7 linked regions of the Macaca mulatta genome follow. The protein of the gene in region 1 purifies or fractionates together with the protein of each later gene. This does not show direct contact. Links are inferred from orthologs where the notes say so. Each region holds a gene or a part of one and is shown in the gene's direction. Other genes may lie near its edges. The genes, in order: DHX9, PABPN1, DICER1, ADAR, HNRNPC, ILF2 and HNRNPA2B1.

Region 1 (2,412 bases):
GGTTATAAGGCTAGAACTCGTTTGTCTAGAACAAAATATGTCTGTGCTTTCAGCGGTTGACTGTCATGCTTTCCAGTCAGTAGCTAAGTACTCATAAAGTGTAGACTGGGTAAAAACGTCAGCCTTCATTCCAGTAGGTGTCCTCTTAGATTATCATTCCATCTTCTCTACAACTAACAACTATTGAAGAGTAGCAGATGAGAAAGTTTTACAGACAGGTTATGTGAAGAGAGGAAGAGTCAGTTCTCTGAATTTTCTTGAATAGTTTGCATGTAATGTGAAGATCAGCCAATTATCTGATTTTTCTTTTCACTCTGCTCCTCTTAACAGATTGTTTGTTGACACAAGTGTTTACTAACACTGGACCAGATAATAATTTGGATGTTGTTATCTCCCTCCTGGCCTTTGGTGTGTACCCCAATGTATGCTATCATAAGGAAAAGAGAAAGATTCTCACCACTGAAGGACGTAATGCACTTATCCATAAATCATCTGTTAATTGTCCTTTTAGTAGCCAAGACATGAAGTACCCATCTCCCTTCTTTGTATTTGGTGAAAAGGTAAGAAAAGACTACAAAAGTTAACATTGAAAGTTGAAATTGTCTTCACAATCATTAGGAATATGAATTTTGATTTTCAAAGCACAGTATGTGGCGGTATTTGGAAGTTGGAATGTCAACCATTTTGTACTGTCTCTTTCTCCATTTGCAGATTCGAACTCGAGCCATCTCTGCTAAAGGCATGACTTTAGTCACCCCCCTGCAGTTGCTTCTGTTTGCCTCCAAGAAAGTCCAATCTGATGGGCAGATCGTGCTTGTAGATGACTGGTATGGATTTTCCGCTGTGAACTCCAAACTGAATTCTTAGAATTATAATATGATGGAATTCAGCTGCTAATCTAACTTAATTATATACTAATTATAACTTAAATATATACTAATTATATCTAACTTAATTGCATAGTATATACTTAAACGGATACCAGTAGAAGCAGATGCATTAGAAATTTGAGCCATGTCTAACCACTATGCACACCACTATGGAATCAATCTAAGTGAAACTTGAATACACTTTCACATACTCTCTATATTGATTCAAAACTAGTGGCAAGCACTGGGCAAAAATGGAATAGAGCTTAATGGATAGCCAGTAGGCTCAGCCATCATATTCTTGAAAACCTAGAAAATGCCAGCATTCTGGGTCTCTTAATTCATTCTTTTAAAGTCTGGATGATCTGGCTGGGTGCCGCAGATGAGTTGGGCTCAGGAAGTTCGAGATCAGCCTGGACAACATGGTGAAACCTGTCTCTACTAAAAATACAAAAAATCTAGCCCAGTGTGGTAGTGCACACCTGTAGTCCCAGCTATTCTGGAGGCTGAGGCAGGAGAATCACTTGAACCTGGGAGGCAGAGGTTGCAGTGAGCCAAGATCATGCCACTGCACTCCAGCCTGGGCAACAGAGCAAGACTGTGTCTCAAAAAATAATAAGTCTGAATGATCCATATTGCCGGACTTTCTTTTGTTTATTATATATTACATATATTTTTGTATTTTATTTGGCTTGATAGACTTTAAGTAGTTTTTAAAAATATTAATGCTTAAGAAGTTAAATTTATTCTTTAACTTGCCATGTGTGAGGTTGAGAGATAATGGTCTTTTTCTTCATATACTCCCTCTCTTACTTTTAATGTTTTTCGCCACTTTAGGATTAAACTGCAAATATCTCATGAAGCTGCTGCCTGTATCACCGGTCTCCGGGCAGCCATGGAGGCTCTTGTTGTTGAAGTAACCAAACAACCTGCTATCATCAGCCAGTTGGACCCTGTAAATGAACGTATGCTGAACATGATCCGTCAAATCTCTAGACCCTCAGCTGCTGGTATCAACCTTATGATTGGCAGTACACGGTGAGTACCATATTAACTTCTCATTGAACCAAGTAGAGGGGAGAGATCTTTCATAGGTCTAGAATTCCTAGAGTTAGTGATAGAAGCCTTATTAAGTAAAATTCTAGATACAGATAGTTTAGTTCCATCTAACAAACTCAGAACAAAAATGTCATTTACTTTTGTTAGTCCCTTTGTTAGTAATTGGTCTACCGCATCAGTGCGTATTGGTAGTGTTGGAAAAGGATCTTACAAATACACATACGTAGTTCAGAGTAGGTCACATGACAGGGAAGTGACACAGCCCAGATAGCCCTTTTTCCATGGTACTGTTTTGGCATCTCTAAAGAAAAAATATTGATGAGATGTTAAATTGCTTCTTTATCCAATGTGTATGTGTTTTTGTTTATCTTAAACAACTAAGAGCATGGACATCTTAAAGCAAAGAAATGAGAAATTTATCTTAATTCTTAAAATTTTTATTTGCTTCAGGTTTTAAAATTTTTTCCTTTGCCCATGAGTTTTT
Region 2 (4,086 bases), on another chromosome or scaffold:
TCTTGGGAGCTTGAGGGCTGAAATGAAGGGTGGCACCCAGATCCCCAATCAATGCATGCTCAATCAACAAACATCTAACAGGACCTTATGTGGTAGGCATATTGCCAGGCTGTGGAGATGTGAATATAAATAGTATCCGGCCCCTCATTTGAAGGCGCTCACAACCTAGTTAAGAAACCACAAAACAATGAAGCGCGCTGTGGAGAGAGGCCCACTTGTCCTGGGAAATGAGGGGAAGCTGAGGTTTGCAGTGGTTTGGTTGAAGGGGAACTACATGTTAGAGGCACAGACTGGGTGCAGGTACACAAAATGGAACGAGAAGGGTGGAAGGAGACATCCACAAAGTAACCACATGCTGGGGTGTCGAAGGCTGTGATTTACCGTTTTGAGGCTTTACCTCGCCTGCAAAGGGGGGCTAGTCTGTTAACGGTGCAGATTGGAAGGGTGACATTGGAAGCTGTCCTGGGAAGAGAAGAAATTGGAACTAGGGAGCAGGAGGTCTACACAAGAGGGTGGGACAGACAGGACTCGTGATTAGTAGCTCTGGACTGAGGAATTCTCCCTGCTTTCTGGTGTGGGAGAGCTAGTGGATGATGGTGCCAATAACCTGGATGGAGAAAGTAAGCTCCCTCCTGGAATGATTCATTCACAACCTCCATTTTCAGCAATATCCCATCTACTAGTGCTTCCTGGTCAGGATACAAGTTTCCTGAAACTGCTGCTCTGTTTTGGGCCTCACCCGGCCAACAGCTCACTAGCTGGCAAGCAGTAGTATCAAGATGGCGGCCCCCTAAGGGCTGGCTAGTCATGTGACTTCGGGTTTTCCAAGTTTGAAGCCGGGCAGTCCGTTCGGGGGCAAGGTTCACCTGTCACGAAACGAGTGTCACTCCTTCGAATCTCGCGAGCCAATCAGCATCTGAGACTGGGCCACTGCGGTGAGGCGATCGGAAGATTGGTCCTTTCCAGTCGCCTAGCTAGGGCCAATCACGGAGCGTCCTATACTTCGCGGGCCCGCCCGTAGGCCGGGGAGAAGCAGAAATATCGTCACAGCGTGGCGGTATTATTACCTAAGGACTCGATAGGAGGTGGGACGCGTGTTGATTGACAGGCAGATTTCCCCTACCGGGATTTGAGAATTTGGCACAGTACCCCGCCTTAGAGGTGGGGTCTCATTTGATTGCCAAGTAATATTCCCCAATGGAGTACTAGCTCGTGGTGACGGGCAGGCAGCTTGACTAATGAGTCCTCGGCGTGGCCGGCGCAGCTCTCCAATCGCCGGGCGGCGGGCCCCAGTCTGAGCGGCGATGGCGGCGGCGGCGGCGGCGGCAGCAGCAGCGGGGGCTGCGGGCGGTCGGGGCTCCGGGCCGGGGCGGCGGCGCCATCTTGTGCCCGGGGCCGGTGGGGAGGCCGGGGAGGGGGCCCCGGGGGGCGCAGGGGACTACGGGAACGGCCTGGAGTCTGAGGAACTGGAGCCTGAGGAGCTGCTGCTGGAGCCCGAGCCGGAGCCCGAGCCCGAAGAGGAGCCGCCCCGGCCCCGCGCCCCCCCGGGAGCTCCGGGCCCTGGGCCTGGTTCGGGAGCCCCCGGCAGCCAAGAGGAGGAGGAGGAGCCGGGACTGGTCGAGGGTGACCCGGGGGACGGCGCCATTGAGGACCCGGTGAGGGAAGGAGGGCGAGCCAGCAGGCCGGCGGCTGGCCGGCCGGGTCACTGGAGGCCCAGAGCTCGGGCGAGCGGGAGGCAGGCGGGGGGTGGGGTTGGGCGGGGAATAACGTGGCTGGGGCCGGGTCGGGCCGGGGATGGGTCAGCGATCACTACAAGGGGCCCGGCTGGCTTGATTCGGGCGTCACGGGTGCCTAGTGTTGTTCTAGAGAGGGTAGCTTGCTTTTCTTTTATCACGACCCTCGCATGGGGCGAGGGAAATGGCCGAGCGTGGCTGAGGCCGCGCTCCGGCCGAGAGCAGGGCACAGCCCCTGCGTTGGTTCCTCTTAAGCTCTCTTCCATACCCTCCCCACTTATATTAGGAGCTGGAAGCTATCAAAGCTCGAGTCAGGGAGATGGAGGAAGAAGCTGAGAAGCTAAAGGAGCTACAGAACGAGGTAGAGAAGCAGATGAATATGAGTCCACCTCCAGGCAATGGTGAGTAACTGGCGGTTGCACGCGGAGCCAGGGTTCTCGGGCTGGAAGGGTTGTGGGGAAGATGGGGAATGTGGGGTAAGATACTCGGCACCCTGGAGCTGCTTGTCTGAGCTATTATGACTGTGCCGCGGTCATAATCCGTTGTGTGTTCGCCTGACCTTTGTGAGGCAGAACCTATATTTTGGTGGTGGTAGCCTTGTGCTTCCCTTTGTCCCTGTTATAATTGTGTTGCTCTTTGTTCTTAGTCTACGTCTATCCTTTGTAGAGGTTGCAAGCTCGCATTTGACCTTCAAATCTAATAGTTTTCTTCCAATTGGAAACGCTTTAGTTAGGATTCTAAGAGAAAGCAAGCTGCAAGGGGTTTCCCCTTTAATCTAGAAATGTGGAGTCTCAGCCCACTTAATTTTGCTCACTCTTAAAAGCATTTCAGCCAAAGCCATTCATTAGGGATTTGATTTGGAGGCAGGAGGGATTCCTATACTGTTGTAAGTGTGTATTAGTTTATTCTTTCAATTTATCGAATGTTTAGTGAGTACCTGCTATGGACTCGGCACTATTCTAGGTTATGGGTACAGCAGAGAACAGAACAGACCAAAATCTTTGCCTTCGTTGAGCTAATGGGATAGTGCTGGTGGTGGAAGTGCAATATATTGGTCAAAAACAAGTGTGTGGTTTTTAAAAAATATTATTTTTTCCTGATAGCTGGCCCAGTGATCATGTCCATTGAGGAGAAGATGGAGGCTGATGCCCGTTCCATCTATGTTGGCAATGTATGTGCTGGGGCTCTGATTGGGGTTGGGGGCAAGTTCTTCTTTTGGGGAGTTATTTAATAGTCCTGGAAGGAACATCTCCGGGATCGGTGTGGTTTTGGGGGTGTGTGGAGGGAGTGTGGGAAGGAGGTTAAAGGTAATGGAATGATCAGTAATCAGCAAAGGCTCTGGGTTTGGAAGCAAAAGGATTAGTTCCTCAAATTACCAGATTTCATGTGCTTTGGTGTATAGATGGCCCAGACCAAAGGCTAGGGAGGGTTCCTGTTGAGACAGGAATTTGCCTGGTGCCTGTGAAATTTTTCTCCTCTCATCAGGTGGACTATGGTGCAACAGCAGAAGAGCTGGAAGCTCACTTTCATGGCTGTGGATCAGTCAACCGTGTTACCATACTCTGTGACAAATTTAGTGGCCATCCCAAAGGGTAAGTAAAGGGGAGTAAGTTGAGATAATTTACAGTGCAAAAATAGATAAATTATGTTTTATAGTGAGCAGTAAGTTATTTGCTGTTAACACAGGTGATCTGTGTCATTTAAGATCATGGCATCAATTTTGATATATATCAAGAGTTGCACCTAAATGTCTTCAGAGGCCAGATAACAAAAATGAAGGCTAGGTGTGGGTGGGATCACAAACTAGAAGGGGAGGGGCAGCTTCTACTTGGCCTGTTATGGCCATATGGAAATTCAGGCCCTGTGTGTCTTATTTTTACAAGTTTCAAAGAGTAGCTGGAAATTTTAAAATTTAAATGATTTTGAATGAAATTTTCCATTTAGAAGAATTTTGACAAATAAAAAATGTAACCACATTGTAGCCCAAAAAGAAGCATGCCTGCAAGTTGAATTTGACTTGTGAGGTATTTGTAACCTCAGAGAGATACAATGACAATTCTTTTCAGATTTGCGTATATAGAGTTCTCAGACAAAGAGTCAGTGAGGACTTCCTTGGCCTTAGATGAGTCCCTATTTAGAGGAAGGCAAATCAAGGTAAGCCTATGTCCATTGCTGTTCTGGTTCTGTATAAACTCTCTGGGTTGACTTTAAGGCTATCATTTGTTCATCTCTGACTCAGGTGATCCCAAAACGAACCAACAGACCAGGCATCAGCACAACAGACCGGGGTTTTCCACGAGCCCGCTACCGCGCCCGGACCACCAACTACAACAGTTCCCGCTCTCGATTCTAC
Region 3 (3,500 bases), on another chromosome or scaffold:
TTTTTTTTTTAAGATACAACACAAAGTTCAATTTATTTTTCTTAATGTTTATGATGACACTTTGGTTATTGGAATTCATTAGAAATACTGTTCAGATTTTTATTTAGTAACTTATTTTTATTGAAATATAGGCCCTTGCATTATGTTGAAAAGATACTCTGTGGTTTTGGCTGGTTGCATTGCCGTTCTCCCTACCTTGCTCTGGCCCTTCAGCAAATGGGCTTAAGTGAAAACCTTTGCATGCTAAAACGCCTCTTGATAGAAGAAAGTGTCAAAGTTGACTTGAATGATACAGGAAAGGATTTCATGTGGCTGTTTTTTCTTAAAAGGCTTGAAGTGCTCTTGAAAAACATTTTATGAGGTAGAACCCCACTCTTTTGTAGATGAAGAATCTGAAACCCAGAGGCACTAAAAGGCTTTGCCCAGGATCACACAGTTTGTGATAAAAGTCAGCCCTTTGTGATTTTTGTGCTCTGCCACTTTTGGCTTATGGTAGCACCTTTCTAAAGATACAGAAAGTTTTTTTCAATTAAAAAAAAATGTATGATTTTTTAAAAATTGCAGTTTGGCCCTTTTTTTCTTAAGGACCAAACAGTAATCTAAAACATCTTCATAATGCCTTGGAAAGTATAAGGTTTTTAGCAGGAAATGTTCCTTGAGGTCTGCCACTATAGTTGCTTTTGGTGTTCTTCCTTATTCTTGAAAAGATGTTTTTTTCTTAATGAAAACAGTGAAAAGATAGTTATAGATAAAGCCCGGCTTACTGCTATTTATTTTCAGACAAATATAGTGTTTATATCTTGAGTCTAGTTTAAAATGAAATATTTGTAGTATTTTAAAAAATGCCTGAAGGTTACAACATTTTTTGGTCAGAACACTCTGGAAAGTTGTTACAGTCAACATTGATGCACACTCTTCGCCTTCCCTCCTCACAAGTAAAGTTTTTTGGTTCTTTAAAAACTTGCATAACAGAAATTTGGCATCTTTCTAGGATTGCAAAAAAGTTACATCATTACTGAAATCTAGCCCATTATTAAGGTTGTCACTCACAAATAAGCTTTTGCCAAAGAAATTGGAATTAGCAAAGATCTTTTGACAGAAATTGGATTGTTGTGTTTCATGTTAGTCTAAATTTTCTTCCATTTTTGTCAGTTATGCTATAATCTGTTCCCCTGATTACTGTAGCTCAGAGTGGAGGGGAAAAGCATAATTTCTCAAATTCATAGCTTAGTGCAGTGATCACTTTTATTTTTTAAGCAAAGCTGTGTAGTTTTTTGTGGCAAGTATACTTCGAAGTGGAAATAGGGACAAAAACTTTATTATAAAATCCTATTGTACATTTTAAAAATTGATTTTATCTGTTTTTATATTATATGCTTAATTGCAAAGGTAATGCTTTTCTACATCTGGAATTTCATTTTATTAATTTGAAAATCAAATTACCACATTTTCAAATTTTGTCAGCAAAATTGAAGATCTGTGTGATCAGCATATGAGTGCTTTCATTGTGTGTCCTACCGGAGTTAGACTTCTTAGTTGAAGTTTTGCATTGTGGACATTAATTTTAACTTAATATCCATGTTCAAAATCCTTAACTTAAAGCTTCATACTGGATTAAAGGTCATTTTATAACTTAGAAAACGAACATTCAAAGAACATGTTTTACTTTGTTTATATGATTAAATAACTTATTTTATGTTAATTGAAAACAAATGGCCATGATTTTAAAGTTGCCTTTTAGTATTTGTGGTTGTCATTTGAAATTATCCATAACCCTTGCTTTTATTGAGTTTCAAACCCTTTTAAAAACAGCAGCTATGTCTCCCCTCCTTCACCATTCCCCCTCGTTTCAGACAAAAGACTGCATGCTGGCGAATGGTAAACTGGATGAGGACTACGAGGAGGAGGATGAGGAGGAAGAGAGCCTGATGTGGAGGGCTCCGAAGGAAGAGGCTGACTATGAAGATGATTTCCTGGAGTATGATCAGGAACATATCAGATTTATAGATAATATGTTAATGGGGTCAGGAGCTTTTGTAAAGAAAATCTCTCTTTCTCCTTTTTCAACCACTGATTCTGCATATGAATGGAAAATGCCCAAAAAATCCTCCTTAGGTAGTATGCCATTTTCATCAGATTTTGAGGATTTTGACTACAGCTCTTGGGATGCAATGTGCTATCTGGATCCTAGCAAAGCTGTTGAAGAAGATGACTTTGTGGTGGGGTTCTGGAATCCATCAGAAGAAAACTGTGGTGTTGACACGGGAAAGCAGTCCATTTCTTACGACTTGCACACTGAGCAGTGTATTGCTGACAAAAGCATAGCGGACTGTGTGGAAGCCCTGCTGGGCTGCTATTTAACCAGCTGTGGGGAGAGGGCTGCTCAGCTTTTCCTCTGTTCACTGGGGCTGAAGGTGCTCCCGGTAATTAAAAGGACTGATCGGGAAAAGGCCCTGTGCCCTACTCGGGAGAATTTCAACAGCCAACAAAAGAACCTTTCAGTGAGCTGTGCTGCTGCTTCTATGGCCAGTTCACGCTCTTCTGTATTGAAAGACTTGGAATATGGTTGTTTGAAGATTCCACCAAGATGTATGTTTGATCATCCAGATGCAGATAAAACACTGAATCACCTTATATCGGGGTTTGAAAATTTTGAAAAGAAAATCAACTACAGATTCAAGAATAAGGCTTACCTTCTCCAGGCTTTTACACATGCCTCCTACCACTACAATACTATCACTGGTAAGGAGCCCACAACCAAACTGCATTTCTGGGAAAATGAGACTTTGTGTTTATCACATTGTGTTGGCCTTGTAAAAGGTGATCTATGCATGTACAGTGTTTGTGCTTAATATTCAAGGGATGGGGCGGGGAACAAAAGGAAAAGAAAGAGTTCTTTTCTTTATTATTTAGGGAGCACGTATTGCTTTATAACTTTGGTTTGTTGGGAGTATGGCTATCATATTATACCCTCATCAGTGTCATTTTATATGCTGCCTAATTAGAGAAATTTGAACCTTAGTATTTTGATGTGGTTTCCCCATTTTATCCTCCCCAGGTATCTTTCTCTTGCCCATTCAGTGCTGCTTTTGGTTTTTGATTTAGTTGTATATTCTGGATGTATTTCCACAGCCTTTTATTGTTCTTCTTGGACAAAAAAAGTCCTCCTTTAGGGTCTTTTTAAAGATGGATAGAATAAAAGATTAACAGCAATGATTTCACAAGAAGGTTGCGTGGCCCTTGCTGTGACTCTGCTGTCATCTTCTACTTCTCACTGTGCTCTGTATTTCCCTCCCCTTTAATAGGCTGTCAACCCATTAGATTAGAAGGGAGAACAAGCCCCTCACACCCAAATCAGCTTCAGGTTGTGAAACACAGCTGAAGTTTACATTTCGATTTCTGTATTGGAGGTATAAGTGCCTGAATTCAGAATACCAAAGCAAAATATAAAATTTGTAGTTTGTATAATAAAAACAGTGTAGGTTAAGGTGATCAGCAAA
Region 4 (3,500 bases), about 72 Mb from region 1:
TAGGATCATAGCTCACTGCAGCCTTGACCTCCAGGGCTCAGGTGATCCTCTCACCCCAGCCTCCCGAGTAGCTGAGACTACAGGCACACACCACCATGCCCAGCTAAATTTTTTTTTCTTTTTTAAAGAAACAGGAGTCTTGCTATGTTGCCTGGGGGATTACTACGTTGCCCAGGCTGGTTTTGAACTCCTGGCCTCAAGTGATCTCCCACCTTAGCTCCTCAGGTTGCTGGGATTACAGGTGTGAGCCACAGTGGCTGACTCTAAGAAGTCAATTTAGAGAAAAATATTAAGTAATAGTCCAAGTGATACCTGGATCTGGCACAAATCATGTGGCGATTCATGAATGACCAAAATCTAGGACATGCTGCCTTAGAAACAGCTTCTGTTTGACAGGTCCATATGTTTGCAAGACCGGCCACATCTTCAGCAAAACTAACCCTTCCTTGGAACAACTGTCAGGATCTGGCGCTTGTCTTCATTCTCTGCTTCTCATCCCAAAGGTTCGTTTACCAAGCAAAAGTTGGGGGTCGCTGGTTCCCAGCCGTCTGCGCACACAGCAAGAAGCAAGGCAAGCAGGAAGCAGCAGATGCGGCTCTCCGTGTCTTGATTGGGGAGAACGAGAAGGCAGAACGCATGGGTTTCACAGAGGTAACCCCAGTGACAGGGGCCAGTCTCAGAAGAACTATGCTCCTCCTCTCAAGGTCCCCAGAAGCACAGCCAAAGACAGTTAAGACGTCTACTTTTGGTGCCTTTTTTTGGGGTGGGGGGTCCTCCTAACTTCTCTCTAAGTGGAGGTGGCTCTTGCTGTCATGCGAGTTATTCCTAGGCTTTACTTTTAGCCTCAAGAGAGCATATAACTGGGACACTAGATATAAGAAGGAAAAGATGACTCACACGACAAGTAGAGCTTGATCTCCCTGCCATGGTGAATATGGTGGACGCAGCCTCAGCTTTGTGGTGCTGACACAGCCTCCTTTCCCCACAGCTCCCTCTCACTGGCAGCACCTTCCATGACCAGATAGCCATGCTGAGCCACCGGTGCTTCAACACTCTGACTAACAGCTTCCAGCCTTCCTTGCTCGGCCGCAAGATTCTGGCCGCCATCGTTATGAAAAAAGACTCTGAGGACATGGGTGTCGTCGTCAGCTTGGGAACAGGTGAGTGAGGCTGAGTCATGCCGCCTCCTGTGGCGCCTGAAAGCGGGTCCCTCTCATCCTCCCCTGGAGTCCATGCAAGTCCAAGGCAGGGAGAAGGGACTTCATTTTAGCTGCAGTCAATTCAGAGTGAGGAATGAGTTAGTTCCTAGAGGAGAGAATATGGGAGTCTAGGATCTGAGAAGTTGAGGCTGTTTCTGCCTTGAAGCTTTCAGAACAAATAGCCATCATCCTGTTTGTCATCAGTTTCCTTCCATTATTCTATTTCTGTTTTAAACACCTTCCTAGGGAATCGCTGTGTGAAAGGAGATTCTCTCAGCCTGAAGGGAGAAACTGTCAATGACTGCCATGCAGAAATCATCTCCCGGAGAGGCTTCATCAGGTGAGCGAGATCAGAGCTGGGGCCTGGTTGCCCGGCTCTGGAGAGCTCCAGTTCCCTGTCGCACGTGGCTCTGACATGGCCTCTCTGAATCCCCCTCTGACAGACGGGTCATGATGTGGCAGTGGCAGCCTTTGCTTTTCACCCGTCCATTTGAACCTGTCTGGTGGAATCCATCCCCTCTGTGACCTGAGCTGCCTCCCACTACTCCGCGTGGTTTTAAATGCTGTCCTTTGTTCTGCCAACTCTGCTGCTTCGTGTCCTTTTCGGAAAACACAAAATGACCTTTTAGTCCTCAGGGCCTTGGGGATGAGGCAGCTTTCCATTTCTATTTGAGGACCTACACAACCTTGATGCCCCTGCCAGCTTTCTCCTCTAAGTCACCTTTTCTTTAATTTATGAAGGGAGAGACTTGGAAAGGAGCAACAGCTTCCTGTAGTCCTTGAATCAGTTTACTCTGCCCTAGAATCCCTGTAGCTGCCATAGCGAGGAGCCCTCAGCAGAAATGAAGGAGACCCAAAAGGCTAACTATGCTTTATGAAATGCTGGGGTCTCCCCTGGAGAATTTCCACCTGAGAAACTGTGAAAGGTCTGCAACATTGAGGCTTTTCCTTACTTGCTCATTTGGAGGTCAGATTATAGAAGCAACTGTTTTTCCCAGAATTGAACCTGCCTTCCTAACCAGACTTTGTTTTTGTAGGTTTCTCTACAGTGAGTTAATGAAATACAACCCCCAGACTGCGAAGGATAGTATATTTGAACCTGCTAAGGGAGGAGAAAAGCTCCAAATAAAAAAGACTGTGTCATTCCATCTCTATATCAGGTCTGTACAGTTCTTGTTGCTGCCAGGGTGGGCCCTGCCAGGCTGTTAGAATTGGGTATCCGAATGCTCTCTTGGCCTGTAAATCGGACCTCATACAATAAGCCACACTCCACCGTGGGTTTGAGGTCCATATTCAGGTGTAGAATGACTCACGTATACTGCTGTCCACCTCCAGTCTCCCATGGTAGGCCTTAGAAAACGTCCATTGCTTCTGTCACATCTAGTTGTTTTGGAGCCCCATGAAACTGCAGATTTCCCACAGGTGAGTTTTAACAGCCACTCCTGTTTTTCAGCACCGCTCCATGTGGAGATGGTGCCCTCTTTGACAAGTCCTGCAGCGACCGTGCTATGGAAAGCACAGACTCCCGCCACTACCCTGTCTTTGAGAATCCCAAACAAGGCAAGCTCCGCACCAAGGTGGAAAACGGTGAGTGATACATGCCCCCGCCTCCTTTTTGCAAAAGGCTCTGCAAGACCCCGGGCCCCCAAGTCTCTGCAAGGCCGTTAGGATTTTACCAGTAGTCACCGGGCACAGAGGTGCTGTTTACAGGAAAGGGAAGACCTGGGTGGGGAGCTGTGTGGTAAGATCAAGGTTCTATTTTGAATGTGTTAGTTTGGGAGACCTTGGAGATCCCCAAGTCAAATAGGAAGTGGGGGTTCCCATGTGAAGCTTAGAGGAGGGAGCTTGGCTGGAAATAGAAATATGGGAGTCATCCCCCTATAGGGTCTTCACGGCCACGGGAATGCATAGGATCGCCTCGAGAAAGGGGGCAGGAAATGAAGAGTGCGGCACAACCAAGCCCTAAGGAGGTGACAGATGAGGATGCCAAGTGCCCGGGTCCCTCCTGTCTAGCTGGCAGTTGACTCTGCATTGTCCACTGGCTCCTTCTCTCCTGTCCTCTCCTGTCTCCTTACTGTCTCCTCACATCCACTCCGTTGCGTTCAGGCCACGTCAGCAGTCATCATGGTGGCCCTGAAACCCTGCTGAATACCCTAAAGTATAGACACAGTTACATGGAGCCAGTGCTCCACTCCTAGGTGGATGCTCCAGAGAGATGGAGACCTGTGTCCACGCGGAAACTAATATGTGAATGTTCATGGCAGCGTTACTCACAAGAGCCAAAAAAGTGGAAACAACCCA
Region 5 (3,961 bases), on another chromosome or scaffold:
TTGCAGTGAGCTGAGATCCGGCCACAGCACTCCAGCCTGGGTGACAGAGCGAGACTCCGTCTCAAAAAAAAAAAAAAAAAAAAAAAAAAAAAGGAGCAGCGATAGGACACCGCGGCCGCCAATCAACCTCAACTGGAGGCAGTTGCACTCCAGCCTGGGCGACAGTGACTCTGCCTCAAAAAAAAAAAAGAAAAGAAAAGAAAAAAGAAAAAAAAAAAAAAAAGAAATGGCTCCCTTAGTAGAGCTGATGCTAATCCACTGTGTGCGCAGTTCCTATAATGTAACCAGAAGGACTGGCAGGTGACGGGGGTACGTAGGAGACAAGCCATTTTAAGAGGAGGGAAATTAAGGGAGCAGATTCGGAGGGATGGGCCAATTTTACTGGCACTTAAGATATTAGTGAGATGACTTGGGCCAGAGGCCGGGATTTTGCACTTCATTTACTTTTCATATTGGAGAGGAATAAGGAAGTCAGTTGGTTTGGATGGAATATGTGTTGTCTGAAGAAGGGTTTAATAGGCTGAGAAGCAGAGATGTCTACGAGGTAGCTGACATTCGAATCTGGACCTGAGAAAGGCTCTCGGGTTGGAAAAACGGCAGGGCTGGTTAGTTTTCTACACACTTTAACACGGCCTAGTCACCGCTGCTCCCTCCTCATTTTAAGTAAAGTTCTTTCTTTATTCATATTGCACGCCGGAGGCTTCATTTCGCGCTTTTTTTCTCCTAGGCCCGGGGCTAGGGCAAGTCCTTTGCGCCCGTCACCTAACAACGCCCCTCAAGCCCTTCCCCGCCCCCGCGCCGCCGGAAATCCGAGGTCTGAGCGAACCTTTTACTAGGCACTCTAAGGAGCAGCGATAGGACACCGCGGCCGCCAATCAGGCCTTCCAGATACCCGGATGTGAGACGGTGCGCGATACAAAGGCGAGTTTCCACCCAGAGGGTCGTCCGGTGCAATAGCCAATAAACATTCCCCAGACGATAAATGACAGGAAAATTAACCAGTTACAAACTAGTTTCTCTCACGCATGTGGAAATTCTTCTGCTTAGTCTAACCCACTGCCAATTGTGACTGGATATCATTGTGAGAAGCGGTTGAACTGTCTAATTAGGAGCGGGAGCGAAAAAACACACAGCCAATAGGAAGATTCTTAGGGATGGGGCGGGGACTAGGCCTTCGCCTCGGCGGCAGAGGAGACTCGGGGGCCATTTTGTGAAGAGACGAAGACTGAGCGGTTGTGGCCGCGCTGCCGACCTCGACCTGCAGTCGGTTTCTTCACGCCGAATCCGGGAGTAGGAGACTCAGAATCGAATCTCTTCTCCCTCCCCCCTCCTGGTAAGTGGAGAGGGCGGACGCAGGGAAGGCGCTGGGTTTTTTGGGAAGCTAGAGGGGGTGTGGGAGAGAATATGAGGGAACCCTTCCCCCTAACTAACCGGGCCCTCATTTATTCTGTTTGTTTTGGGGGATTAGGTCTGAAGCGGGAGGCGGTTTTACAGGCCTCAGCCTCTGCGTAGGTTTAACCTGGTGTCCTCTGGGCCACGATCGCCAGGGAAAATGCCCTTTTTTCGCTCTTCCTGTGTTAACGGCTGCTTTCCTTTCATTTTCTACGACCGCGAGGACTCCGGGATCCTGAAAATGAAGATCGCGATGTTCATTAATATAGTCGAAGTTAACATAGCGCCGATGCCTTCTATTACCTCGGTTCTTCTTACATGTAAAAATTGGGGGAGGGGGAGGGGGAAGGTTACCAAGTAGATGTATCGCGAGCCTTTAAATCCTGGATCGTGCCGCGTGGCCTATGAGAAAGGTTTAACAAAAGATTTAGCATTTTACTGATAACTTTTTATTTTATTCCTCTCTATGAGCAAATAATGGAGCTCGAAGTAGTTATTTTCACTTACGTTTGTAAAAGGAAATATTGTGTATAACTATATTAATAATTACAGCTGACTTTTCATCTGCAGGTTACAAAACACTTGAAATATATAAGTTAGTGGAACTTTGCTTGAGGTAGGTATTAACTCTCTTTCTCAGACAGAAACTGAGGCAAAGTGTTGATTGCTAGGGTCATAATTAAGTCAGTAGCAGAACTACTAAGGAATTTGACCACGAGGTCAGTCGAGTGGTTTTTACCTGGTTAATGGAATACCGGGTTCTAAAAGTACAATATTTGAATCTTTGCAAGAACCTGATGACGGAAACCACGAGGTAACTGGAAATTCCCAAATTGCGCTTAAGAAAAATACTACGAGACTTGAGAATTTGTTGTTAACGTAACTTCCTAAGTGTAAGATGACAAAATTTGACTTTCGGGTTATTCTGATGTTAATTTTCCCGTCCACCTAAACTTGGGCAAAAATTCACAGCTACATTTTATTAAGCAAATATTAACAGTGCTGTTATTTGCTCGGTGCTGAAATTTGATAAAAAACTTGTAAGTTAAAGTTACAGATCTTTAGTGTCACGTTCACTTATCTGGGAAATCGGTTTTTTAAATCCTCACATGAGATTTGGTTATTTTTTACAATCTGTTAATTTCACAAAAACTAAAGCTGTTAAGCACAGTTTAAACCAATTCTGCCGGGTAAGAAATTTATCTGTAAGGCAACCTATTTGATAGGAAGTAAAATAAGGGTCAAAAACATCGCGACCCCTTTAAGTTTAAATATATTATTACAGGAACTTAAAACTAAAGTTTATCATCGTGCTAAACTGTTAGAAATGAGGTAAAGGCAAAAATAGATTAATGGGGAAATCATGTAGTAAAAATGTTGGCAATGAGAAATGTCAGAAGTTAGTATTTAAGAACAGTTGATAATAGCTGAAATTGATTGACAGGCACTTTTCTTTGCCTTTGAGGTGTTAGAAATACGGGTTCCTTCCGATCAGTATGTATATCAGATCAGTATGTATATCAGCGTACCAAAAATTCTTTAATATCAAGAACTGTTTGCCACGGCATTTATATCACAATTCCAGGTGTGTTCTCAACTGGATAGGCATTTAGTAACATTTTCGTATTGGCTAGCGTATTGGCTAGGGGGAAAAGTTGAAGGATGGCCAGGTTGCAGGTTTTCTGACCTTTTTTTCCCCCCATTCGTGTGCCACTCTTGGGAATACTTGGTAGTTGATGTTCCTTCTGTGGAGAATTTAAACAGCTTACGTTTGTAATTAAATCTCTTAGAGGATTTGACATGGCATTCGACCTTGTTTTGGATGGAATGGCAGTGCGACACAAAGAATAAACTCAAATAGCTAGTTGCTCTAATTTTAAAGACTAAGGGGCAAATTATTAAAACTTAATATTAAGTGTTGAATGTGAGGTGTTGAATAGGGAGTAAGTTTGCCTAGGAGGAGAAATAGATTTTAATCCTCCTTGCTTAAATAAGAGGACTTAGACTTTTTTTTTTTTAACTTATTTGAATTTTTAGTTTCTAATTCAAATTTTTCGTTGCCAGAAGACTAAAAACTGTACAGATGCAGTCTTTTTAAAGCAGTTTTTTTTTTTTTTTTTTTTTTGAGACGGAGTCTCACTGTTGCCCCAGGCTGGAGTGCAGTGGCACAATCTCGGTTCACTGCAGCCTCTGCCTCCCGGGTTTGAGCGATTCTCCTGCCTCAGCTTCCCAAGTAGCTGGGATTACAGGCGTGCGCCACCACGCCGGGCTGATTTTTATATTTTTAGTAGAGACGGGGTTTCACCGTGTTGGTCAGGCTGGTCTCACTTCTGAGATCAGGCAATCCTCGTGCCTCCGCCTCCCAAAATGCTGGTATTACGCAGGTGTGAGCCACGGCACCCGGCCCCAGTTTTCTAAATTAGTAGTAGTTACTACTATTCTTAACCACATTATTTCAGTCTTCAAATAATTAGTAGTTGTCTCTGGGGAGCATTATTTGCTCTTAATATGCATATTCTTGTATTCTCATTGGAAATGGGAAGCTTTTGGTTTTGTGTATACTACATTT
Region 6 (4,089 bases), about 73 Mb from region 1:
CTCTCCAGCCTGGGCAACAGAGTGAGACCCTGTGTACAAATAAAATAATAGAAGAGAGGGTAAGAGACAAAGAGATTACTGGGGGAAAAGTCTAATACGTCTTTGGAGTTCAGGAAGGAGGGAAATAATAGGTAAAACTAATACTGGAAGATATAATAGCTAATAAATTATATAAATGGATGACAAACCTCAAGCCATTGATTCAAGAAGCTCAACAAACCTCAAGCAAGATTTTTTTTTTTTTTTTTTTTTTTTTTTTTTTTTTTTAAGACGGAGTCTCCCTCTATCACCCAGGCTGGAGTGCAGTGGCGCCATCTCAACTCACTGCAACCTCCGCCTCCTGGATTCAAGATTCTCCTGCCTCAGCCTCCTGAGTAACTGGAATTACAAGTGCCCGCCAGCACAAGCCACCGCACCCGGCCCTTTTTTTTTTTTTTTTTTTTTAAATTAATAACATTTATTTAAATCTGGATGGTGGTTATGTGGACAGAATACGTTTAGACTTAAGATGTTTACGTTCTGCTGTAGTAAATTAAATATCAAAAAAGTACGTATGGAAGGGAGGTAGATGAGGGATAAAAGTCTACAAGTTGGATTCAGTGTATACTGCTCGGGTGATGAGTGCACCAAAATCTCACAAATCACCACTAAAGAATTTATGTAACCAAGCCGGGCGCGGTGGCTCAGGCCGGTAATCCCAGCACTTTGGGAGGCTGAGGCGGGTGGAACACCTGTTTTCCACATTAATTCAATCAATATACTCCTCCTATCTGAAACCTGTTTCTCCTGCTTCGAGTTTGTAGACGTGTAGTGTTCATGGTTGCCTAAACTCCCTTTTCCCCATCAACTTCAACTGCTAGTGGCAAAAATGGCTGATACTGCTTGCGTTTTTGGGGTAGGAAAATCGGCAAGGTATTTTCATTCACTGAATGTAATGTAAATTACGTGTACGGTACAGGGCAATGAAAAAATTCCGATAGCAGAGGATGGTTTCGATCCATCGACCTCTGGGTTATGGGCCCAGCACGCTTCCGCTGCGCCACTCTGCTATCTGAAGGCCAACGTTCTCATAACTGTTATAGAAGACCACGTAGTCGTTGTCCTGACTTCTTCAGTGCCACCTAATGTCTGATCAAAAATTCGTCATTACTATAGAACCAGTTCTTATTGGCTAGTTCCTGACACAGTAGGCGTTTTTTATTGGTTCATAAGCCCGGTTTGACAAAGTAAGCCAATAGGCATAAGCGATGGGGTAAGGCGGGAGCCAATCACGCCGGGTTTTATTGGGACACGCCGGCAAGACTCCTCTTCAGTTGTCTGCTCCTCAGAGGAAAGGGGCGGTTGGTGCGGCCTCCATTGTTCGTGTTTTAAGGCGCCATGAGGTAAGGGGGTCGAAGTGGTCGAAAGGTTTCAGGTATTCGACGGAAAACTTTGGGAACGTGGGTCGAAAGAAGTCGGAGTACCTAAAAGGACCATGTATCCGGGAGCTGGCCAAAAACCTGAGAACTCCTGGTCTAAGAGAGTGGGAGAGAGTGAGGCCGGTAGAGGCGGGGAAACGGGCCCGGGATGGGGTTGGGGCCCAGGAGTGGGGAGGCGGGTTCGACACCTCTCTCTGAAGGGTTGCGATGAGGAGGTGTCCTCAAGTCCCCGGAGGAGCTCCCCACCTTCCCTCCGCCCCCGTCATCCGGGCTGAGAATGCTGGAGCGAGCCGCATTCATCCTCAGTGCGAAGGGCTTGACATATAGGACATGCCCGATAAATGTGTACGTTAATGAAGAAATGAGCAATCTTTAGCTTCCGAAGTATTAGGATTCGTGTGGCCCAGGATTATGGGTTATTTCGTGTAGGGCTCACTGTCTGAGCCCCATCATTACTTGATGGGGGGTTGTGATTAACTTATCCAGAATGAGGAGGTTATGGGGGTGTAACTGGGCACCATTTGGAATGGGGAGGAGTGTGTGAGTGGGGTCTCTTGCCTACCGTTGGGAGGTTCCGAGGGATGAAAGTAGCCAACTTAAAATGATATGGCCGGTGGGTATTCCTTCAATGAGATCAAAATAAAATCTGCATTTCTAGGGGTGACAGAGGCCGTGGTCGTGGTGGGCGCTTTGGTTCCAGAGGAGGCCCAGGAGGAGGGTGAGTGCCAGCTTTTAGCATCTCTGCACTTAGTTGTTAGTTTCTGCTTGTCATCTAAATAGGAGTTTTGGAATAGACTAATGTCACTTGGTTTTGTGAGAGCCAACTGTGGTCTTTTCCGCACTCCTGCTAAATGAATTTGGCCCCACTATGCTAAGAATGATTCTCTCCCTCCCCAGAGACTTTGTCACTCATTCTGAGGTCTGACATGTTTTCAAAATTGTTGGTGTGTTATTTAAATCTCACTTGATTCCTACATAGGGAATAATTTGGCTGTTTTTCATGTTTTAGGTTCAGGCCCTTTGTACCACATATCCCATTTGACTTCTATTTGGTGAGTACCTTGGGTTAATAATACACAATTTCTGGCCATTCTTGAAATGGAGCCTAGTATCTCCCAGTTAATGAAGTTAGATAGTGGTTGAAGAGGGCAGGCACAGTGCCTCACACCTGTAATCTCAGCACTTTGGGAGGCCGAGGCGGATGGATCACCTGATGTCAGGAGTTTGAGACCATCCTGGCCAATATGGTGAAACCCCATCTCTAGTAAAAATAAAAAAGTTGCTTGGGCGTGTGCCTGTAATCCCAGCTACTTGGGAGGCTGAAGCAGGAGAATCGCTTGAACCCGGGAGGCGGAGGTTGCGTGAACTGAGATGGCACCACTACCAAAAAAAAAAAAAAAATGGTGATTGAAGTGAGGGGGAAAGTGATTTTTGAAAAGACTTGGGGTTTTGAGTCAACTGTGTGTTGCTTTACCTACAGAAACAGTGTAAGCATGGTGGGGAGAATAATTCCTTGACTACTGTTGGCATTAAACATGATTATAATCTTTGTTCTGAACAAGTAATCGTATCTACGGCTAATTTGTTACTATAAAGATAGTGATAGCTTAAATTATGGCTATTCCAGCTTGTATCCTTGTTTGAACATTTTTTCTTTTTTTTTTTGAGACAGAGTCTCACTCCGTCACCCAGGCTGGAGTGCAGTGGTGCAATCTTGGCTCACTGCACTGAACCCGGGAGGCAGAGGAATCAGGACCTCTGCCTCCCAGGTTCAAACAGTTCTCCTGCCTCAGCCTCCCAAGTAGTTGGTATTATAGGCGCCATGCCCAGCTATTTTTTGGGTATCTAGTAGAGACGGGGTTTCACCATGTTGCCCAGGCTGATCTTGAACTCCTGACCTCAAGCGATCTGCCCACCTCGGCCTCCCAAGGTGCCGGGATTACAGGCGTGACCCACCATGCCTGGCCTTTGAACAAAATTTTTTTTTTTTTTTGAGGCAGGGTCTTACTGTGTTGCCCAGGCTGGAGTGCAGTGGCACGATCTTGGCTCACTGCAGCCTCGCTTCCTGTGTTCAAGGGATTCTCCCACCTCAGCTGGGATTACAGGCGTGAGCCACCATGCCCAGCTAATTGAACAAATTAAGGAGTAAAAACAAGTGTAGAATTTTCTATTTTTAACCTTTTTCTGTCGTAGTAATAGAAAAAACAATCTCTCCTGTATATTATTTTCGGCAAATGGAATGTAGTTGTTTACTTCTGGTTTAGTGTGAAATGGCCTTCCCCCGGGTCAAGCCAGCACCTGATGAAACCTCCTTCAGTGAGGCCTTGCTGAAGAGGAATCAGGACCTGGCTCCTAATTCTGCTGAACAGGTATGTTCTTTTGGCTGTCTTCCAGAAATGTCTCTAAAGCAGGTAAAAGTATTGGTAAAGAGTAACTGTTGGTAAGGTTAAGAATGGTGTTAACAGAGCCTGAAATCCACAGAGGGTTTAATTGTTCTCCTTATTTCTCATTGTGGGTGGAGACAGCCAGGTGGATATATAAACAAATTACATATGCATTCTTATTTTTATTGGGGATAAAGAGTTGTTCTCTTTCCATATATTCAAGGCCAGAATGAAGTGTTTTTAAAGTCCTAGGTCAGTATTGAGTCAGCTCGTATGGAAGGGATTAG
Region 7 (4,245 bases), on another chromosome or scaffold:
TCTCGACCCAGCCCCGCGTGGCGGCTGGGGGAGGGGGCGCCTCCGCCGGAACGCTGGTGGGGGAGGGGAGGGAAAATGCGCTTTGTCTCGAAATAGGGCGACCGTCGCCACAGCTCCCTACCCCCTCGAGGACCGAACAGTCCCCCCACTAACTGCCGGCGCCGGCCCCGAGCCAGGTCAGCCGCGAGGCCACCGCCCGACCCTCTCCACTCCTTCCCGCAGCTCCCGGCGCGGTGTCCGGCAAGGAAGGGAGGGGAGCGGAGAACCGGGCCCCCGGGGCGCGTGCAGCATCTGATGCACCACCACCGAGCGAGGGCTAGAGAGAAGGAAAACCACCGACTTCACCGCCTCTGAGCTGCTCCGGGTCGCGGGTCTGCAGCGTCTCCGGCCTTGCGCGCCTACAGCTCGAGCCACATCCGAGGGGGGAGGGAGCCGGGAGCTGTGCGCGGGGCCGCCGGGGGGGGGGGAGGGGTGGCACCGCCCACGCCGGGCGGCCACGAAGGGCGGGGCAGCGGGCGCGCGCCCGGCGGGGGGGAGGGGCCGCGCGCCGCACCCGCTGGGAATTGGGGCCCTAGGGGGAGGGCGGCTGCGAAGACCGCGGCACTTACCGTTCGCCCCGTGGCGCCTGGTGGTCCCCAAGGGGAGGGAGGGGGGAGGAGGGGCGAGGACGGTAACCGGAGTCTCCTCAGCGGTGGCTTTTCTGCTTTGCAGCCTCAGTGCTGGCGCCAAAACCGGACTCCGCCCACTTCCTCGCCCCTGCGGTGCGAGGGTGCGGAATCCTCCAAACGCTTGGGGAGAGAGAGTTGGGAGCTTAAAAACTAGTACCCCTTTGGGACCACTTTCAGCAGAGACCCCTCCTGTACCCCAGGGGTCAGCTGCATAGACGCGGGTCAGGGTTAGGTCAGTGTGGCGTGAACGATAATTTGACTAGAAGTTGATTCGGGTGTTTCCGGAAGGGGCCGAGTCAATCCGCCGAGTTGGGACACGGAGAACGAAAAGGGAAGGCTCATATTATACTACGATTTTTCTGGCGGGGGTTATCAAAGGCGTAGCTGCAGGGACCACCTCCCAGGTTGAGAGGGCTGGAACTCCGGGCTCCGGATTAAGCTCCTCCCGTCAGCGTTAATTTCAAACTGCGCGACCGTTTCTCACCTGCCTTGCGCCAAGGCGGGGGGCGGGACCCTATTCCGAGAGGTAGTAACTCGCGGGACTCGAGCCTTCCGCAATTCACTGAGCGCATTTACGGAAGTAGCGTCGGGCACTGTCGCTGGCCACAGGAGGGGGAGGAGTACGCATTTGGCGTAAGGAGGGGCGTAGAGCCTTCCCGCCATTGGCGGCGGTTAGGGCGTTTACGCAACGGCCTGACGTAGAGGAAGACGCGTTAGTGGGGGGGAAGGTTCTAGAAAAGCGGCGGCAGCGGCTCTAGCGGCAGTAGCAGCAGCGCCGGGTCCCGTGCGGAGGTACTCCTAGCGGTGTTGTTTCTCGAGCAGCGGCAGTTCTCACTACAGCGCCAGGACGAGTCCGGTTCGTGTTCGTCCGCGGAGATCTCTCTCATCTCGCTCGGCTGCGGGAAATCGGGCTGAAGCGACTGAGTCCGCGATGGAGGTAACGGGTTTGAAATCAATGAGTTATTGGAAAGGGCATGGCGAGGCCGTTGGCCCCCTTGTGGAAGTCGGCCGGCCGCCTCCGTGGGAGAGCGGCAGGAAATCGGACCGCTTCAGTAGCAGTGGGGCTTGAGGTTTATGAACGGGGTCTTGACCGGAGGCCTGAGCGTACAAACAAGCTTCCCCACCCTCGGCCTCCCGGCGCCATTTCCCTTCACTGGGGGTGGGGGATGGGGAGCTTTCACATGGCGGACGCTGCCCCGCTGGAGTGAAAGTGGGGCGCGGAGGCGGGAATTCTTATTCCCTTTTTAAAGCACGGTGCTTCGGGGGCCACGGCGTCTCCGCGGCGAGTGTTGCGGCGGGCAGCGGGTCCCCGTGAGCGAGGCTGCGGAGCTTCCCCTCCCCCTCTCTCCCGGGAACCGGATTTGGCGGCCGCCATTTTCATGGCTCGCCTTCCTCTCAGCGTTTTTCTTTTAATTCTCTTATTCTTTTAGTGTGCTTTCTCTGTCAAGGCATAGAAGTGGTTAACTATTTTTCTTTCTTCTCGGGCTCTTTTCATATCGTTTCGAGGTGGATTTGGAGTGTTTTGTGAGCTTGGATCTTTAGAGTCCTGCGCACCTCATTAAAGGCGCTCAGCCTTCCCCTCGATGAAATGGCGCCATTGCGTTCGGAAGCCACACCGAAGAGCGGGCGGGGGGGTGCTCCGGGTTTGCGGGCCCGGTTTCAGAGAAGATACCACCACCCAGGGCGTCGGGCCGGGTTTAATGCGAGCCATAGGACAAAGAAACCGTTTTGTAGTTTTCCTGTTTTTTAAATTTATTTGAGTAACGGATATATTTGGGTCTGCAGTCACTAAAACGGCAGATGAACAGCAGCAAAAATAAACACTTTGGAAGCCATCGGCCACGAGGGGCAGGGACGAGGATGGTTTTCTGGGCGGGGGAGGGATATTCGCGTCAGAAGCCTTTACTGTTCTTAAGGATTCCGCTTAAGTTGTAAAGCCGACTCGTATTTTAAGTAATGTTTTTCCTGAGAAGTTTAATCCTTACGGGACAGTTCCATGGATCATTATAGATGATTAGTTAGAAATTACGAGGAAAGCGAAATCACGATTTTATCCTTAGTTGTACTTCGGTTAAAACATGGCTTCAGAGGCTCTTTCCTGTAATGCGTGTGTATTTTTGTGCAAAATTGTTTTGGGCCTGGGCCGCTCTGTATTTGAACTTTGTTACTTTTCTCATTTATGTTTGCAATCTTGGTTGAACATTACATTGATAAGCATAAGGTCTCAAGCGAAGGGGGTCTACCTGGTTATTTTCTTTGACCCTAAGCACGTTTATAAAATAACATTGTTTAAAATCGATAGTGGACATCGGGTAAGTTTGGAAAAATTGTGAGGTAAGTAATGAGTTTTTGCTTTTTGTTAGTGATCTGTAAGACTTGTTATAAATGTACATTATCGGTAATTTCAGTTTAGAGACACCTATGTGCTGACGACAATTAAGAAAAAACTAATTGAGAAAATGAAAATATCTATTTTGGCAAGTAACCATTTCAAGACTGCGTTGTGTCTCATAGGAAGTAGTTTAATCATTTCGGTTAATGTTTTTTTTTTTTTAATTTTTACCAGTCCTGAAAACAATTACAGGAAAAAATCCGAACTGGCATTTACCACTATTTTTTTTTTAGCAGTTGGGAGCATGTGAATGGAGGGAGAGAGCTCTGTAGAACTGGGCTGAGAGCAGCAATTCTTCTTGCTAGGAACAAAAAATAATTCTTCATTCAAAATTACTTGTGACTTTTTAGTGTGCATTATGCATTCGTAGTAGTTGGTCCTGGATATCACTTCCTCTCGTTTAATTTTTTTTTTTTTAACGTAGTTACCTTTTAAGACAGGTTTACTTAACATTCTTAACTGCCCAAAATACAGGGTTGTATAATACGACATATTTGCTTGTTTGCAGGTATTAAAGATTTCAACTCTGAGGTTTTTCCTATTGAGTTAGAAAATTGTTTCGTGCCGTGTCGCTTGCCACATGGCCAATCAAGTTCAGTAAGCTTCAGCTTTCAGTAATAGTTAGCTTAGAGATTATGCCAGGTGAATGTATTTTATTGTACATAAGGTTAAGCTGAGTAATTCATATTCTGTATTGTCATATCCTGTATAGACAGTGTCCACCAAAAACCTGTTAAAACTTTTAAGATTTGAGTGCTGCTGGTCATAAAAATGAATTTGTCCTGGTTTTAAGTAATTTTTAAGGTTATTGCTAATGCATATCATGATTTTAAATATTTTTGTCAGAGTCATAGGGAGAAACAGTATTTTAAAAAGTTTTTTTTTGGCTAATATACTTAGAATCACCACCAGAGGGGGCAGTTAAGGGAAAATGTTACTGAATCGTGAAATAAAAACTTTGGGTCATAACCATCGAACCAAAAGTTATTTTCTGATGTTTATAAATAGAAATCTGGGTTTTTAGGTTATAGGGTTGAAATTTTTGGTAAAGATTTAGTAATCTTTTGATAACCACGGTCTACATTTGTTCATTTCTCCTTAGAAATTTTTTAAATTAAGTAATAATACATTTGTTTAAGATAATTTAATGTTGAGTAAATTTAGATCAAGCATTAATGACTTTGA

The links.
Region 2: the proteins of DHX9 (region 1) and PABPN1 purify together in Homo sapiens (affinity purification with mass spectrometry; 4 studies listed by BioGRID and IntAct, with this or other methods). This does not show direct contact. The link is inferred for Macaca mulatta from reciprocal best matches to the Homo sapiens genes DHX9 and PABPN1.
Region 3: the proteins of DHX9 (region 1) and DICER1 purify together in Homo sapiens (co-immunoprecipitation; 3 studies listed by BioGRID and IntAct, with this or other methods). This does not show direct contact. The link is inferred for Macaca mulatta from reciprocal best matches to the Homo sapiens genes DHX9 and DICER1.
Region 4: the proteins of DHX9 (region 1) and ADAR purify together in Homo sapiens (affinity purification with western blotting; 3 studies listed by BioGRID and IntAct, with this or other methods). This does not show direct contact. The link is inferred for Macaca mulatta from reciprocal best matches to the Homo sapiens genes DHX9 and ADAR.
Region 5: the proteins of DHX9 (region 1) and HNRNPC purify together in Homo sapiens (affinity purification with western blotting; 5 studies listed by BioGRID and IntAct, with this or other methods). This does not show direct contact. The link is inferred for Macaca mulatta from reciprocal best matches to the Homo sapiens genes DHX9 and HNRNPC.
Region 6: the proteins of DHX9 (region 1) and ILF2 fractionate together in Homo sapiens (co-fractionation; 5 studies listed by BioGRID and IntAct, with this or other methods). This does not show direct contact. The link is inferred for Macaca mulatta from reciprocal best matches to the Homo sapiens genes DHX9 and ILF2.
Region 7: the proteins of DHX9 (region 1) and HNRNPA2B1 purify together in Homo sapiens (affinity purification with mass spectrometry; 4 studies listed by BioGRID and IntAct, with this or other methods). This does not show direct contact. The link is inferred for Macaca mulatta from reciprocal best matches to the Homo sapiens genes DHX9 and HNRNPA2B1.

What each region holds. Positions count from the first base shown.
Region 1 is NC_133406.1:40,346,667-40,349,078, forward strand, and holds part of DHX9 (ATP-dependent RNA helicase A), read left to right. Parts: intron 1-330; coding exon 331-560; intron 561-711; coding exon 712-827; intron 828-1,706; coding exon 1,707-1,907; intron 1,908-2,412. UniProt on the Homo sapiens protein: Multifunctional ATP-dependent nucleic acid helicase that unwinds DNA and RNA in a 3' to 5' direction and that plays important roles in many processes, such as DNA replication, transcriptional activation, post-transcriptional RNA regulation, mRNA translation and RNA-mediated gene silencing.
Region 2 is NC_133412.1:96,420,210-96,424,295, forward strand, and holds the start of PABPN1 (polyadenylate-binding protein 2), read left to right. Parts: upstream 1-1,286; 5' UTR 1,287-1,304; coding exon 1,305-1,655; intron 1,656-1,765; exon of another isoform or gene 1,766-1,871; intron 1,872-2,019; coding exon 2,020-2,134; intron 2,135-2,836; coding exon 2,837-2,904; intron 2,905-3,218; coding exon 3,219-3,325; intron 3,326-3,799; coding exon 3,800-3,887; intron 3,888-3,972; coding exon 3,973-4,086.
Region 3 is NC_133412.1:168,387,166-168,390,665, reverse strand, and holds part of DICER1 (endoribonuclease Dicer), read left to right. Parts: intron 1-1,853; coding exon 1,854-2,742; intron 2,743-3,500. UniProt on the Homo sapiens protein: Double-stranded RNA (dsRNA) endoribonuclease playing a central role in short dsRNA-mediated post-transcriptional gene silencing.
Region 4 is NC_133406.1:112,413,048-112,416,547, forward strand, and holds part of ADAR (double-stranded RNA-specific adenosine deaminase), read left to right. Parts: intron 1-503; coding exon 504-729; intron 730-988; coding exon 989-1,160; intron 1,161-1,445; coding exon 1,446-1,539; intron 1,540-2,236; coding exon 2,237-2,359; intron 2,360-2,652; coding exon 2,653-2,786; intron 2,787-3,500. UniProt on the Homo sapiens protein: Catalyzes the hydrolytic deamination of adenosine to inosine in double-stranded RNA (dsRNA) referred to as A-to-I RNA editing.
Region 5 is NC_133412.1:94,116,737-94,120,697, reverse strand, and holds the start of HNRNPC (heterogeneous nuclear ribonucleoproteins C1/C2), read left to right. Parts: upstream 1-1,161; 5' UTR 1,162-1,333; intron 1,334-1,962; exon of another isoform or gene 1,963-2,008; intron 2,009-3,961. UniProt on the Homo sapiens protein: Binds pre-mRNA and nucleates the assembly of 40S hnRNP particles. Interacts with poly-U tracts in the 3'-UTR or 5'-UTR of mRNA and modulates the stability and the level of translation of bound mRNA molecules. Single HNRNPC tetramers bind 230-240 nucleotides.
Region 6 is NC_133406.1:113,368,415-113,372,503, forward strand, and holds the start of ILF2 (interleukin enhancer-binding factor 2), read left to right. Parts: upstream 1-1,289; 5' UTR 1,290-1,377; coding exon 1,378-1,382; intron 1,383-2,076; coding exon 2,077-2,136; exon of another isoform or gene 2,137-2,168; intron 2,169-2,427; coding exon 2,428-2,470; intron 2,471-3,663; exon of another isoform or gene 3,664-3,682; coding exon 3,683-3,787; intron 3,788-4,089. UniProt on the Homo sapiens protein: Chromatin-interacting protein that forms a stable heterodimer with interleukin enhancer-binding factor 3/ILF3 and plays a role in several biological processes including transcription, innate immunity or cell growth.
Region 7 is NC_133408.1:102,187,161-102,191,405, forward strand, and holds the start of HNRNPA2B1 (heterogeneous nuclear ribonucleoproteins A2/B1), read left to right. Parts: upstream 1-1,445; 5' UTR 1,446-1,599; coding exon 1,600-1,605; intron 1,606-4,245. UniProt on the Homo sapiens protein: Heterogeneous nuclear ribonucleoprotein (hnRNP) that associates with nascent pre-mRNAs, packaging them into hnRNP particles.